Linked DNA regions of Stegostoma tigrinum. The protein of the gene in region 2 purifies or fractionates together with the protein of the main gene of each other region. This does not show direct contact. Links are inferred from orthologs where the notes say so. Each region holds a gene or a part of one and is shown on either strand. Other genes may lie near its edges. The genes, in order: tsc22d2, nuclear receptor-binding protein and TSC22 domain family protein 1-like.

Region 1 (4,022 bases), on a different chromosome or scaffold from region 2:
ATGGTCACTGGAACACTTGGCATAGTAACTGAAGTGGCTGGCACACTGGGCACACCAGCAGACACACTTGAAACACCAGTACTAGGCACATTTTGGATGCCAGCTGCCACACTGGTCAATCCAGACACCTGACTAACCATCCCAGACTGGAGACCAGAAGCTTGGTGCTGTTGGGTTAAAAGTTGTTGCTGAACACCAGATGACCCCAAGCCTTGCTGCTGCAACATCAGCCCCTGCGTAGGACCCGTCTGGATATTCTGTATCCCTTGACTGACCAAATCACAGCTCTGAGCCGACACTTGGACTCCACTGACAGAAGACTGCAACACTGGCGAAGGACCATGACTCGTCGCTTGCCCGGCAGGTAGGATTGTCGTTGCAGCGCTGTGAGCTACTGCTCCCGGTGAAGCTCCTGGACCCTGCATGACAGGCAGATGTTGCATGTACTCTGTGTGGCTATTCGCCACGGTGGATTGAGACGGCAGCAAGTGTGGAGCCTGGCTCGGAGAAAACTGGAATTGCTGAGACTGGGAAGCGGGGATGTGAGCAGTCTGCTGAGGAAGTGGGCCGCCAGGGGCAAGCAGGGCCTTGCCATTGAGGCCGGCGTGCAGGTTCACCTGTGACTGATGGTGCTGGCCAGCCACAGCGGGGGTGCTGTAAATTTGAGTGGAGGAGGCAGCCTGTGAGACCGGCAGGCCGCCTGCTGGTTGCAGTCCTTTGGAGAAACTTTGGTGCTGGGCGATCAGCTCGGCTTGGGCCAACTGCGTGACAGTGGAGCCGAGGGAAGCGTCTGCCAGGGACTCTGTGGCGTGCAGGGTGGGGAGGATGAGCGAGCTGTTGGTGGCTCCGAGGCCGCTGTCCCTATCTCCGGCCTGTTGTTGCTGCTGCTGCTCCAAGGCGGTGGTGCTGTTGTGTCGGATGGTGTCGGCCGACCGGGCCAGGACGGTACCGTCAGAGTCTCGGTCGTAAAACTCGGTACAGGTCCAGCGGCCTCTGCGGAAGGGCTCGCCCGAGCCGTGGTCCAGTTTGATGACCCTGAAGCGGGAGGTGCAAGCCACCGCCGGCTGCATGGTGAGCGGGCCGCCGCTGGAAGTGCCGCTGCCGGAGCTGGACGGAGGAGGGGTGGCTCCCGGAGGCTGTCCGGGGCTCGCCACCGTCCCCCCGGCCGCCGGCAGCCGCCCTCCGAAAGCCTGAGCCACCACGTCCCGATCGTGAGGGATATTGGGCGAGGTGGCGCCGGGGGTGTCGGCATCGCCCACGTTGTTGAGGGTCTCGTCCGAAGAGCTACGGTCACAGACCTCGGCGCCGTGCTCGTAGTCGGTGGCCCGGGAGGACACGTCGAATATCTCCGAGGAGATGTCCTCGGTGCGGGACTCGTCCGGGTCGTCCAGGCTCTCTGTGTCCTCAGTGATGCTGCTAGCCGCTACCTGAGCCGTGGTCACGCTGGTGATCTGGAAACCGCTCTTCTTTTTAACCGGCATTTTGAACAATTCACAAAAATATAGATATATGTATATACATAGAGAGAGAGGGGGGGAGGGAGGGAGGAAAGAGCGTCGAACCTTTTTTTACCTTCACGCCTCTCTCCTTCCCTTCGCCGCCGCAGCAAGTCTGTAGTTTGTAATTCAGTTCACAAGTTCTTTTTAAAAAAAAGCTAACCTTTTTTCTGACAATTCACAGTTCGAATAGATCATTTTCTCGTTGCGTTGGTAATATCCGTGCAATGAGAGAAAAAATTAAGTTCTCTTTTTCTTTTGAATTAAGGAAATAAAAGTAAATCTTCAGAGTTCGTAGATTGTTCTGTAAAGAGGTTCTTTCTTTCTTTCCTTCCTTCCTTTTCAACACCTCACACCCAGGAAAAACGATGAATTAACACCGTTGGGAACAACGTTTGAAGCAAGCCATGTCTGCTTCGATTACAACCTAAACATCCTTTCGAAGAGAAGATATGAAGAATTCTACTTCTTTCCTCCCACTCTGGCACTTCAGTCGTTATCCTCGCTTTACTTTTCCTCCTTCTGCAGGGAACGGTCGCACTTTTAGCAACGTGTGGATGACTCCGAGCTCCTTCTCATTAGTCACCACGACACACCATCTTCCTTCTAGTTATAAGCACTGCGGGCTGCTCACCCAGGTCCTCTTGTTCATAGAAGGGAAGAGAGAAAAAAACCCTCCCTCCCCTCAAAAACTCAACTCCCAATTATATCCTTCAGATTCTTTTCTTCTGACTCTTTGCACACAGGTCGATGAAATGCAGAGAGTGAGTGAGAAGAGGGGGAGGAGAGAGGAGCTGCTTCTGGTCGAATGGAGAAAGCAAAAGCCCCGGGGTTTTGAGAGCCCAGTCAGGTCCTGTCCAGAACAAGCAGCAGTGACACTCTCGCCCTTTCTTTCTCTTCCTTCCTCCTCTCGTTCGTCTTGCCCTCCCTCCCCTACAAGAAGGGAGGGGGGGGGGGGAGTGGGGGTGACCGGCCCAAGGCCCGTGTCGCAGATCCAGCGGCGAATTTGTCTGGTCCCTGAGCAAACCCCGCACCCCCTTCCCCAGACACCCCCCCCCCGCCTACTCTTCGCCGCACCTCCTCAGGCTGGGGTGGGGGGGGGGGTAGGAGAGGGAAAGGGGAGGAGGCGGAGGATGGGGGTGCCTACCCCTCCTCGGGATGAAAAGACGGGTGGAAAAGAGGGCGGGATGTGTTCACAAGCCGGAGCTGCCGAGCGCTGCCATTCGCCTTCTTCCCTTCGCAGGAGGTTAGGGAGGGAGGGAGCTGCCTTTGGACCCGGGGCCTTCAGCACAGCAGCAAGTGGGCCCCTTTCCCTTCACCACCACAAGATGGGGGAGAGTTGGGGAGGGGGTAGCGGGATGGAGGAGGATTACAGGCTCGGTTATTTTCTCCTTTATTTATGATGGGGGGTCGGGTCACGGTTGCCTGCGTGTCTCAGACACACGCAGCCCCAGCAGCTTCTCTCTCTCTCTCTCTCTCTGTGACTGCACTCAAACCAAGATGGCAGCCGCGCCACCGCACGGCATCCTGGGAACGTGCTCACGCATCACACAGCGCGCTGACGTCGACTTCCCTCGCCCCACTGTATCAACTTTGTGTATCAGGCATTAGGGTTGTCTGTCGGGGTAGTGCATTCCCTGCACCGAGGAACTAATTGCTTCAGCCCAGTCCCAGTGGGAGGTTTAATGAACTGGACTATGGGTTACAGTTTGCAGATGGCAATAAACTTGGGGTAGTTGTGGACTGTGAGGAGAGCATTAAGAGTGAGGTTAAAATTGTATCAGTGATAATGGGAACTGCAGATGTTGGAGAATCCCAGATAATAAAATATGAGGCTGGATGAACACAGCAGGCCCAGCAGCTCCTGAGATGCTGCTTGGCCTGCTGTGTTCATCCAGCTTCACACTTTGTTATTAAGAGTGAGGAGCAGGAGGAGGCAATTCAGCTCGCACCACCATACCATAAGAATCATGGCAGATCTCCTTACTTGGCTTTAACTTCATTTTCCTGCGTGCTCCCCACAACCCTTCAACTTGCTGCCAATTAAAAATCATAGTGCAGGAAGAGGCCATTCAATCCATGAAGTCTGAACCAACCCTGCAAAGAGCATCCCACTCAGGCCCACCCCCATCCCAGTACCCCTGCATTTTCTATAGCTAATACAGATAAGCTGTTGTTTCTGTGCATATCCCCGGACTCTATAAGGCCATTTCGCATAGCCAATCTACTTAACCTGCACATCTTTGGACAGTGGGAGAGAAACCGAGGCACCTGGCAAAAACCCATACAGACACGGAGAATGCGCAAACTACACACAGAAAATCATCCAAGGCTGAAATTGAACCCGGGTTCCTGGTGCTGTGAGGTTGCAACGCTAACGACCGAGCAACCATGCAGCCCAAAATCTGTCTATCTCCTTAAATTTATTCAATACGACATTCTCGTGGTGAATTCCACAGATTCACAACTCTCTGAGAGAAGTAATTCCCCCTTAATTGTTATCCTAAAACTATGACCTCTCATTCT
Region 2 (4,022 bases):
GGGATTTCCAAAATTGGAACTACACACAAGATCACTTCTGTAAAACATCACAGTCTCTGAAATGGAATGATAAATCACCTTTTAAAACAATCAACCAAGTTCCATTAGCATAAAGTAAATTAAATTTTCCATTACAGCACTTCAACACATGAGTTTTAATCACCTAATACAGTGCTCATGCCTATCTAGGGTATCTGCCATCAACAAATTTCAAGCCCAATAAACTCCTCACCATTCCAAACCGACATTACATATTTGATGGAATAAATAGAATCTCCCTCTCTCATGTATACCAGGCTTTTGAGGACTATATATGGAAATGGCAGATGTTGAGAAAACATGTCTTGAGAAACAGCTGCACCTTCTATGAAAAAAGAAGCATGACACCAGAATCCAATTTCTAGCCGTGTAAAAGATATTATACTGGCAAGCCAGCATTCTTCTAATAAAGGAACTAAAAATGGACAAGAAAAACATTTAATTTTTGCTTTTTTGCAAGTTGCATTACTTATCAGATTAACAGCTTTCACAGTTCAGATATAAACCAGTCACAGATACCAAGTCGTCTGATATATATCACCAGCTTATATTACTTCAAGTTATAGAATCAGAGTTTGAGAGTGTGGAAAAAGATCCTCCAGTCCATTATGTCCATGATGGCATTCAAGTACTTATCTATTTTAATCCAATTTTCCAACACTTAACCCATAACCTTGTATGTTCTGGCATTTCACGCACTCATCTAAATAGGTGAAGTTGTCACACTTCCTGAGGACCATAGGGTTGCTTTTTCAGTTTAATGAGGGTCACCAAGCCTCAGGTGAGGGGCAAGATTGCAAAGCTGGCACCTTCATGGCAACCTCAGCTGGTGTCAGAATGGAACCCACACTGCTGGCATCATTCTGTATCAGACAGTCATCCAGCTTAATACTCAATTACTGGTTGTTTCCTGTTTCTACCACCCTTTTAAGCAGTGAATTCCAGACACCTACCACCAACTGAATGAAAAGAAATTCTTCAAATCCCCCAAAACAGAGAATAAGAGCCAGAGTAGGCCATTTAGTTCTTTGAGCCTAGTCTGCCATTCAGTACAGTTGTAGTTGATCATTGCACTCAGTACACTGTTTCCATGTTCTCTCCAAGACCTTGGATTTATTTGGCCTGTGGCTACTGAGCCCCCTAAGGAAAACAAGATTCTTCATCTATATCCTATCCAGAACCCTGAGAACCTCATACACATTAATCAGATTTCCCCTCAACATTTACTCAGAAGGGGGAGGCAATGGCCTAGTGGTGTTATTGCTGGACTGTTAACCTACGAATCCATTATCAATCATCAGAAAAGCCCATATGGTTCACTAATGTCCTTTCGGGATGGAAATCTGTCATCCTTACCTGCCCTGGGCTACATGAGACTTCAGACTCACAGCAAAATGGTAGATCCTTAACAGGCCTCTGAGCAATAAGCACTGGCCTAGCCAGTGACACCCTCATTCTGTAAGTGAATAAAAAGGAACCTATACTCTAAGGAAAACAACTCAACCTATCTAGTCTATCGCCACAGCTAAATACTGACAGACAAGGTGAACTGTGGCAGGTAGATTTCAATGTAAACATGTGTGAGCTTATCCATCGTGGACCAAAACAAAATGAGGGCACTAACTACATAGTATGAAGTTAAATACAGTAGATATCCAGAAAATTGCAGTTCAGGTGTTTTTAAAGCGCCGTGAACAGGTGCAGAAAGTTATCAAGGCAACTAATGACAAGTTGACCTTTATATCTAGAAAGCTGGAGTATAGGGGTGCAAAAGGAATGTTGCAGCCATACAAACCCCTGGTTAGACTCCACTTTAATGATTCTCAGCAGATCTGGGCACCATGCCTTAAGAAAAGGAAATTGGTCTTGGGAGGAGTACATTGTGGGTTTACAAGAATGATACCTGGATTCAGGGTTTAAGATATGAGGACAGTTAGAAAAATTAGGCCTATTTTTCTAGAATTTAGAAGGTTAAGGGTGAACTCAAAGATAATAACAGTAACAGACAAACAAATACTTTTACTGGTTGGGGATTATAGGACTTTAGGAGCATGCTCTAAAAATTACAGTCAGACCATTCAGGAGTAATGTTAGGAAGCACTTCTACCCAGAAAGGACTAGAGGGGTTCGGTACACTCCACAAATAACAGCCGATGCTGGATCAGTTGTTTGTTTGAAATCTGAGATAGTTTATTTTCATTAGGCAAAAGTATGAAGGCCAAAAGCAGGTGTATGGAGTTAGGGCAGAGGTCAGCTTCGAATGGCGGAACAGGTTCAAGGGGCTGAATGGCCTACTCCTATGAACCGTTCCATCTCAGCCCGGACATCATGCTAGTGAATCTACTCTGCAAACCCACTACTGCAATCACATCGTTCCTGTCTTCAACTTGTAAACTAAAAAAGTGCGATGCAAAAAGCACAAGCTACTGGCAAGCTTTATTGCATTTCTTTTTTCTTAAGAAAAGAGGAAACATGGGTTTGAAACGCCTGTTAAAGGCGAGTTAGCACTGGGGAAAGGACGAATCACCCTGTCAGAAGGGGTCTCTGCCCTCTTATCCCCCGCCCCGCAAATCTCCCTCTTCAAAAGGAGCTCACCTCCTCCCGTCGCTTCTGCCAGCGGCCACACGGACTCTCCTCCAGGATCTCGCTCTCGTCCTCGCTCTCGTCCTCCTCTTCGTCGTCCACCTCGGCGGCCGCATTCATGGCCTCAGCCGCCTTGTCCACCACTGCGGCTACAGCGGCCGCCTTCTCGCCTTCCGACATCTCCCCCCTCTCCCCACAAAACCTGGAGAGACACTCAGGGGCCGGAGACCGGATGGAGAGAGCGGAGAGGGGGCGGGGATAGGTGAGACACCGACAACTCCTTGTCGAATGATTGAAAATCAATTCCACTTTCTGGGGACGGGTACCATTGAAGATACAGGAAGCTTTCTACAAGATCGTCCGATTTCTTCCCTTTGATCCCACTTGGAAGTTAAATTCTCCTCAGCCCCACGTTTAATGGCGACCATTGACCAGCGACTCCATTCGCTCGAGCTCTCAAGCCACCCCGCCCACTTCCCCCTAGGCGACAGTTTGACAGATAGCGGGCCAGACCAATAGAAACCCGGGGCGGGTACAGGGCTCGCCACCCTGCCCACATTCCCAGGCAACGCTTTGATGGACAGCGGATCTTACCAATAATCGCACGAAGTGATGGAGAACGGTGCCACAACGACGCAGTTCGCGCCGGTGACGGTCCAACGACGTCGGAACGGGCCAATCAATGCCTGGCGTGTGGTATGCGGAGCCACAGCTGCCCACGTTCCCCTCAGCGGACGGTTTGACATGGTGATATTGACCAATCAGAGCCAGGTGCGCGTGGCGGCGTAGTAACGGTCACGTCACGCGCGTTACTAATGACGTTTGGGCACAGCCTAACGCGCGCTAGGACCCGACCCGATTGGAGGGATTCAACAGCCTCCTGGTAACGTCTTTGACCAATAGATACCCGTCGATTGATATTAGTGACGGCCCAACAGCCAATGGAATCCGGGAGGGCGGAGACGAGTGGAAGGAAAGTTTCGTATGTCTGGGTAAGGTCAAAATCTACACGACACCAGGTTATACACCGTGATAATGGGAACTGCAGATGCTGGAGAATCCAAGATAACGAAATGTGAGGCTGGATGAACACAGCAGGCCCAGCAGCATCTCAGGAGCACAAAAGCTGACGTTTCGGGCCTAGACCCTTCATCAGCCCATGTCCATCATGGGCCTCCTGCAGTGCCACAATGATGCCACCCGAAGGTTGCAGGAACAGCAACTCATATTCCGCTTGGGAATCCTGCAGCCCAATGGTATCAATGTGGACTTCACCAGCTTCAAAATCTCCCCTTCCCCTACTGCATCCCTAAACCAGCCCAGTTCGTCCCCTCCCCCCACTGCACCACACAACCAGCCCAGCTCTTCCCCTCCACCCACTGCATCCCAAAACCAGTCCA
Region 3 (4,022 bases), on a different chromosome or scaffold from region 2:
TCTCTATTCCTATCCCCCCCTTATCCTGTACACTTTCTCTCTATTCCTATCCCCCCCCATATCCTGTACACTTTCTCTCTATTCCTATCCCCCCCCATATCCTGTACACTTTCTCTCTATTCCTATCCCCCCCTTATCCTGTACACCTTCTCTCTATTCCTATCCCCCCCTTATCCTGTACACTTTCTCTCTATTCCTATCCCCCCTTATCCTGTATACTTTCTCTCTATCTCCCCCCCCTTATCCTGTACACTTTCTCTCTATTCCTATCCCCCCCCCTTATCCTGTACACTTTCTCTCTATTCCTATCCCCCCCCCTTATCCTGTACACTTTCTCTCTATCTCCCCCCCCTTATCCTGTACACTTTCTCTCTATTCCTATCCCCCCCCCTTATCCTGTACACTTTCTCTCTATTCCTATCCCCCCCCCTTATCCTGTACACTTTCTCTCTATTCCTATCCCCCCCCCCTTATCCTGTACACTTTCTCTCTATTCCTATCCCCCCCCTTATCCTGTACACTTTCTCTCTATTCCTATCCCCCCTTATCCTGTACACTTTCTCTCTATTCCTATCCCCCCCCCTTATCCTGTACACTTTCTCTCTATTCCTATCCCCCCCCTTATCCTGTACACTTTCTCTCTATTCCTATCCCCCCCCTTATCCTGTACACTTTCTCTCTATTCCTATCCCCCCCCTTATCCTGTACACTTTCTCTCTACTCCTATCCCCCCCCCTTATCCTGTACACTTTCTCTCTATTCCTATCCCCCCCCCCTTATCCTGTACACTTTCTCTCTATTCCTATCCCCCCCCCCTTATCCTGTACACTTTCTCTCTACTCCTATCCCCCCCCCTTATCCTGTACACTTTCTCTCTATTCCTATCCCCCCCCCTTATCCTGTACACTTTCTCTCTATTCCTATCCCCCCCCTTATCCTGTACACTTTCTCTCTACTCCTATCCCCCCCCCTTATCCTGTACACTTTCTCTCTATTCCTATCCCCCCCCCCCTTATCCTGTACACTGCTTTTCTCCCTCTCTACTCCTGTCCCCCTTCTGCCTCGCTGCTCCTTCCGCTCCTGACAACTGCTGACGTCAGCGGGCCCCGCAGGCCGCGCCACGTCACGGGCAGGCAGCCAATGGGAGGCCGAGTTATTTTTAGCCCAGGGTTTAAGGTTCTGCGATCGCCTGGCAACAGGCGGAAGAGCAGCGGGGAGCAGCGTGCGCTCACTCACTCGCTCGCTCTCACCCAGGCTCGGGGCTCTCCACACACACACACACACACCACCGCTTAGAAATAAAAACCTTCAGACGCAACCCCTCATCGTTCAGAAAGTTTACAAACAAATGCGCCCAAACTACTCCGTACACCCGCCCCCATTAGGAACAAAAACCCCGGCTACCATAAACATTCCTGTGGGATGGTCCCGAGTGTGTTTATTACCAGCACAAACTGATCATGAAACATTCAGATCGAGCTAGGACATAATCCTCATCCCGCACGACTGCAAACTCGATAATACAGATGGATTGTTTACTTGCAACCCTGGCACTGAGAGGTGACTGAGAGATCGATGCACGGCACTGCGCAAGCAAGAAATACAACATTGCATCTGTTAGTGCCCCGGCTGCATGACCGCGGCATCAAATTAGTTCTTCGAGAAAATCATTTCGATTTTCTTTAAAGAGTGAACGAGGGCTCACATCTATGGATCAGCGAAGGCTGCTGCACACAGAACAAGTGTCTCACATTTACCTTGAACATCCATGCCATGAACAATGGGCAAAATACCCCTCTCCACAGAGGGCGAGCAGCCGAGTTCCTGACACTCTGGAGGATGTCCAATCTGCATTGTTACACCGGAGATTTCTGAATTCTTTCTGCCCCATTGCACGGTTGCACTGACGAATGCCTGGCCGATCCCCCACCACCCACATCCCCTCCCCTCCGTCCCTAAAAGGGTTTTGAGGTCTCTGAACTGATTTTAATACCTCTTTACTGTCGTTCGCTGCACAAACACTTACCATGGCTTGCTCGATTTTGTTGTCTATGGCTACCACACTGGCACCAGAAGAGCTGTAAAGAAACAAAAAAAAAGATTAAAGCAACAATCCCAGCTGGAAAAGAAAGCGAATGGAAGGCAAATACAGCAATCACGCCTACCAAGATCTAATGTACAGCCGTAACCCGATAATAGCTTTGTTTTTGTGTTGATTGATGCATTTTATTTACCCCCAGGCGCAGCAAACAGCGACCACTTGCAGGCGATGCAACACTTTGATTAATAATAATGCTTCAGCAAATAAGCTAAATCGGGATCTGGGTCAATCTGCAGGATTAAGCCTCAAAACAAAAAAAAGCCGAGACCTTCATTTTCTGCTGACTCTGGGGGTAGATGCCCCCACTGTAATGCGGCAAAATAACAAGCCTGGGAGACGACGCCAGCCATTTTTCCCTGCATTGATCTCCGCCAATATTTCCATAGGCACATACTGAGCAGCAAACCCAAGCTCCAGAGACATAGACAAGTTAAAATCATTTTCAAATGTCTCTGATTCCCCCAGAAAGAGCCAGAGATTTCACATCAGCTGTCAGCGCCTTCAGCACCGTTGACTGTTGCAATGCAAATGATATTTCGGTATACCATATCTGCCTAGCTTCAAATGAAACCCAACCAACCTCTAGCCGTTGCAAAAACAAAAAAAAAATCCAACAACCGACATTTACCTACTGTCTAATTTTACGGAGGCGTTTTCTGTTCCGAGCAAAGAGGAGAGAAATGAAATCGAGAAATTTCTCAGCTGGTAAACCCCAAGCTCCATCGCCAGTGACTTATAATATTCAGCATTCATGCTATTCCAGAGCAAAAATGAGTGAAGAAACGGGAGCTTTTCGTTTGCAGCCTTGGTGAGCCGGCGTGGTAAAGAGAAACGCTATTGCTGAAGGCTAGATTTTGTGAATTTTGCAGTGAAACGGCAATGTACTGTAGAAACCTTGGAGAGCCACCTCGACAGCGCTCCACAAAGAAAGCTTGTGATGCTCACAAACAGATCTTCGCTGCTGCTTCTCACCACAAAACCCTCAGCACTCTCATCAGCATAATGTATGTACAGGAACGCCCAGCAGCCCCGCCGCTATAGGCTCACCTGATCAGATTAACATCATATCTACGAATATATTAACACTGAGGAACACCCAGCAGCAGGCACGAGGTCCAGGGAGGAGAGGGAGGAGATGGTTTGCGGGGGGGAGCGGGGGGAGGGGATGTGAGTTGGTGGGGGGAGTAGGAGAGAATCAGATAATGGTTGGGAATCAGATAGGGAGGAGGATCAGGTTGGAGAGGTGGAAGGGGGGGGAATAATATTCAATATTTTTCAGACTGGAGGCCTGTGACCAGCGGTGTGCCACAAGGATTGGGGCTACATCCACTGCTTTTCGTCATTTATATAAATGATTAGAATGTGAACATAAGAGGTATGGTTAGTAAGTTTGCAGAATTGGATGTGTAGTGGACAGCAAAAGTGACCTCAGGAGTACAACAGGCTCTTGAACAGATGAGCCAGTGGGTAGCAGATGGAGTTTAATTCAGATAAATGCCAAGTGCTACATTTTGAAAAGGCAAGTCAGGGCTGGACTTATACGCTTAATGTAAGGTCCTGGGGGGTGTTGATGAACAAAGAAACCTTGGGGTACAGGTCCATATTTCCTTGAAAGTGGGGTCACAGGTAGACAGGGTGATGAAGGCAGTGTTCGGTATGCTTACCTAGAGTGGTCAATGCATTAAGTTCTGATGGTCATTGGACCTGAAACGTTAACTCTTGATCTTTTCTTCACAGATGTTGCTAGACCTGCTGAACTTTACCAGCAAGTTTGTTTTGTTCATTGAGTTTAGGAGTTGGGAGATCATGTTGTGGCTGTGCAGGACAATGGTCGGGCCACTTTTGGAATACTGCATGCAATTCTGCTCTCCCTGCTATAGGAAGGATGTTGTGTAGCTAGAAAGGATTCAGAAAAGATTTA

What was found.
Region 1: the proteins of nuclear receptor-binding protein (region 2) and tsc22d2 purify together in Homo sapiens (affinity purification with mass spectrometry; 5 studies listed by BioGRID and IntAct, with this or other methods). This does not show direct contact. The link is inferred for Stegostoma tigrinum from reciprocal best matches to the Homo sapiens genes NRBP1 and TSC22D2.
Region 3: the proteins of nuclear receptor-binding protein (region 2) and TSC22 domain family protein 1-like purify together in Homo sapiens (affinity purification with mass spectrometry; 4 studies listed by BioGRID and IntAct, counting the BioPlex papers as one, with this or other methods). This does not show direct contact. The link is inferred for Stegostoma tigrinum from reciprocal best matches to the Homo sapiens genes NRBP1 and TSC22D3.

What each region holds. Positions count from the first base shown.
Region 1 is NC_081367.1:66,950,647-66,954,668, forward strand, and holds the start of tsc22d2 (TSC22 domain family protein 2), read right to left. Parts: upstream 2,571-4,022; 5' UTR 1,482-2,570; coding exon 1-1,481. UniProt on the Homo sapiens protein: Reduces the level of nuclear PKM isoform M2 which results in repression of cyclin CCND1 transcription and reduced cell growth.
Region 2 is NC_081362.1:89,502,685-89,506,706, forward strand, and holds the start of nuclear receptor-binding protein, read right to left. Parts: upstream 3,102-4,022; 5' UTR 2,803-3,101; coding exon 2,635-2,802; intron 1-2,634. UniProt on the Homo sapiens protein: Required for embryonic development. Plays a role in intestinal epithelial cell fate and proliferation, thereby involved in the architectural development of the intestine potentially via the regulation of Wnt-responsive genes.
Region 3 is NC_081365.1:74,892,878-74,896,899, reverse strand, and holds the start of TSC22 domain family protein 1-like, read right to left. Parts: upstream 3,095-4,022; 5' UTR 2,855-3,094; coding exon 2,730-2,854; intron 2,079-2,729; coding exon 2,027-2,078; intron 1-2,026. UniProt on the Homo sapiens protein: Protects T-cells from IL2 deprivation-induced apoptosis through the inhibition of FOXO3A transcriptional activity that leads to the down-regulation of the pro-apoptotic factor BCL2L11.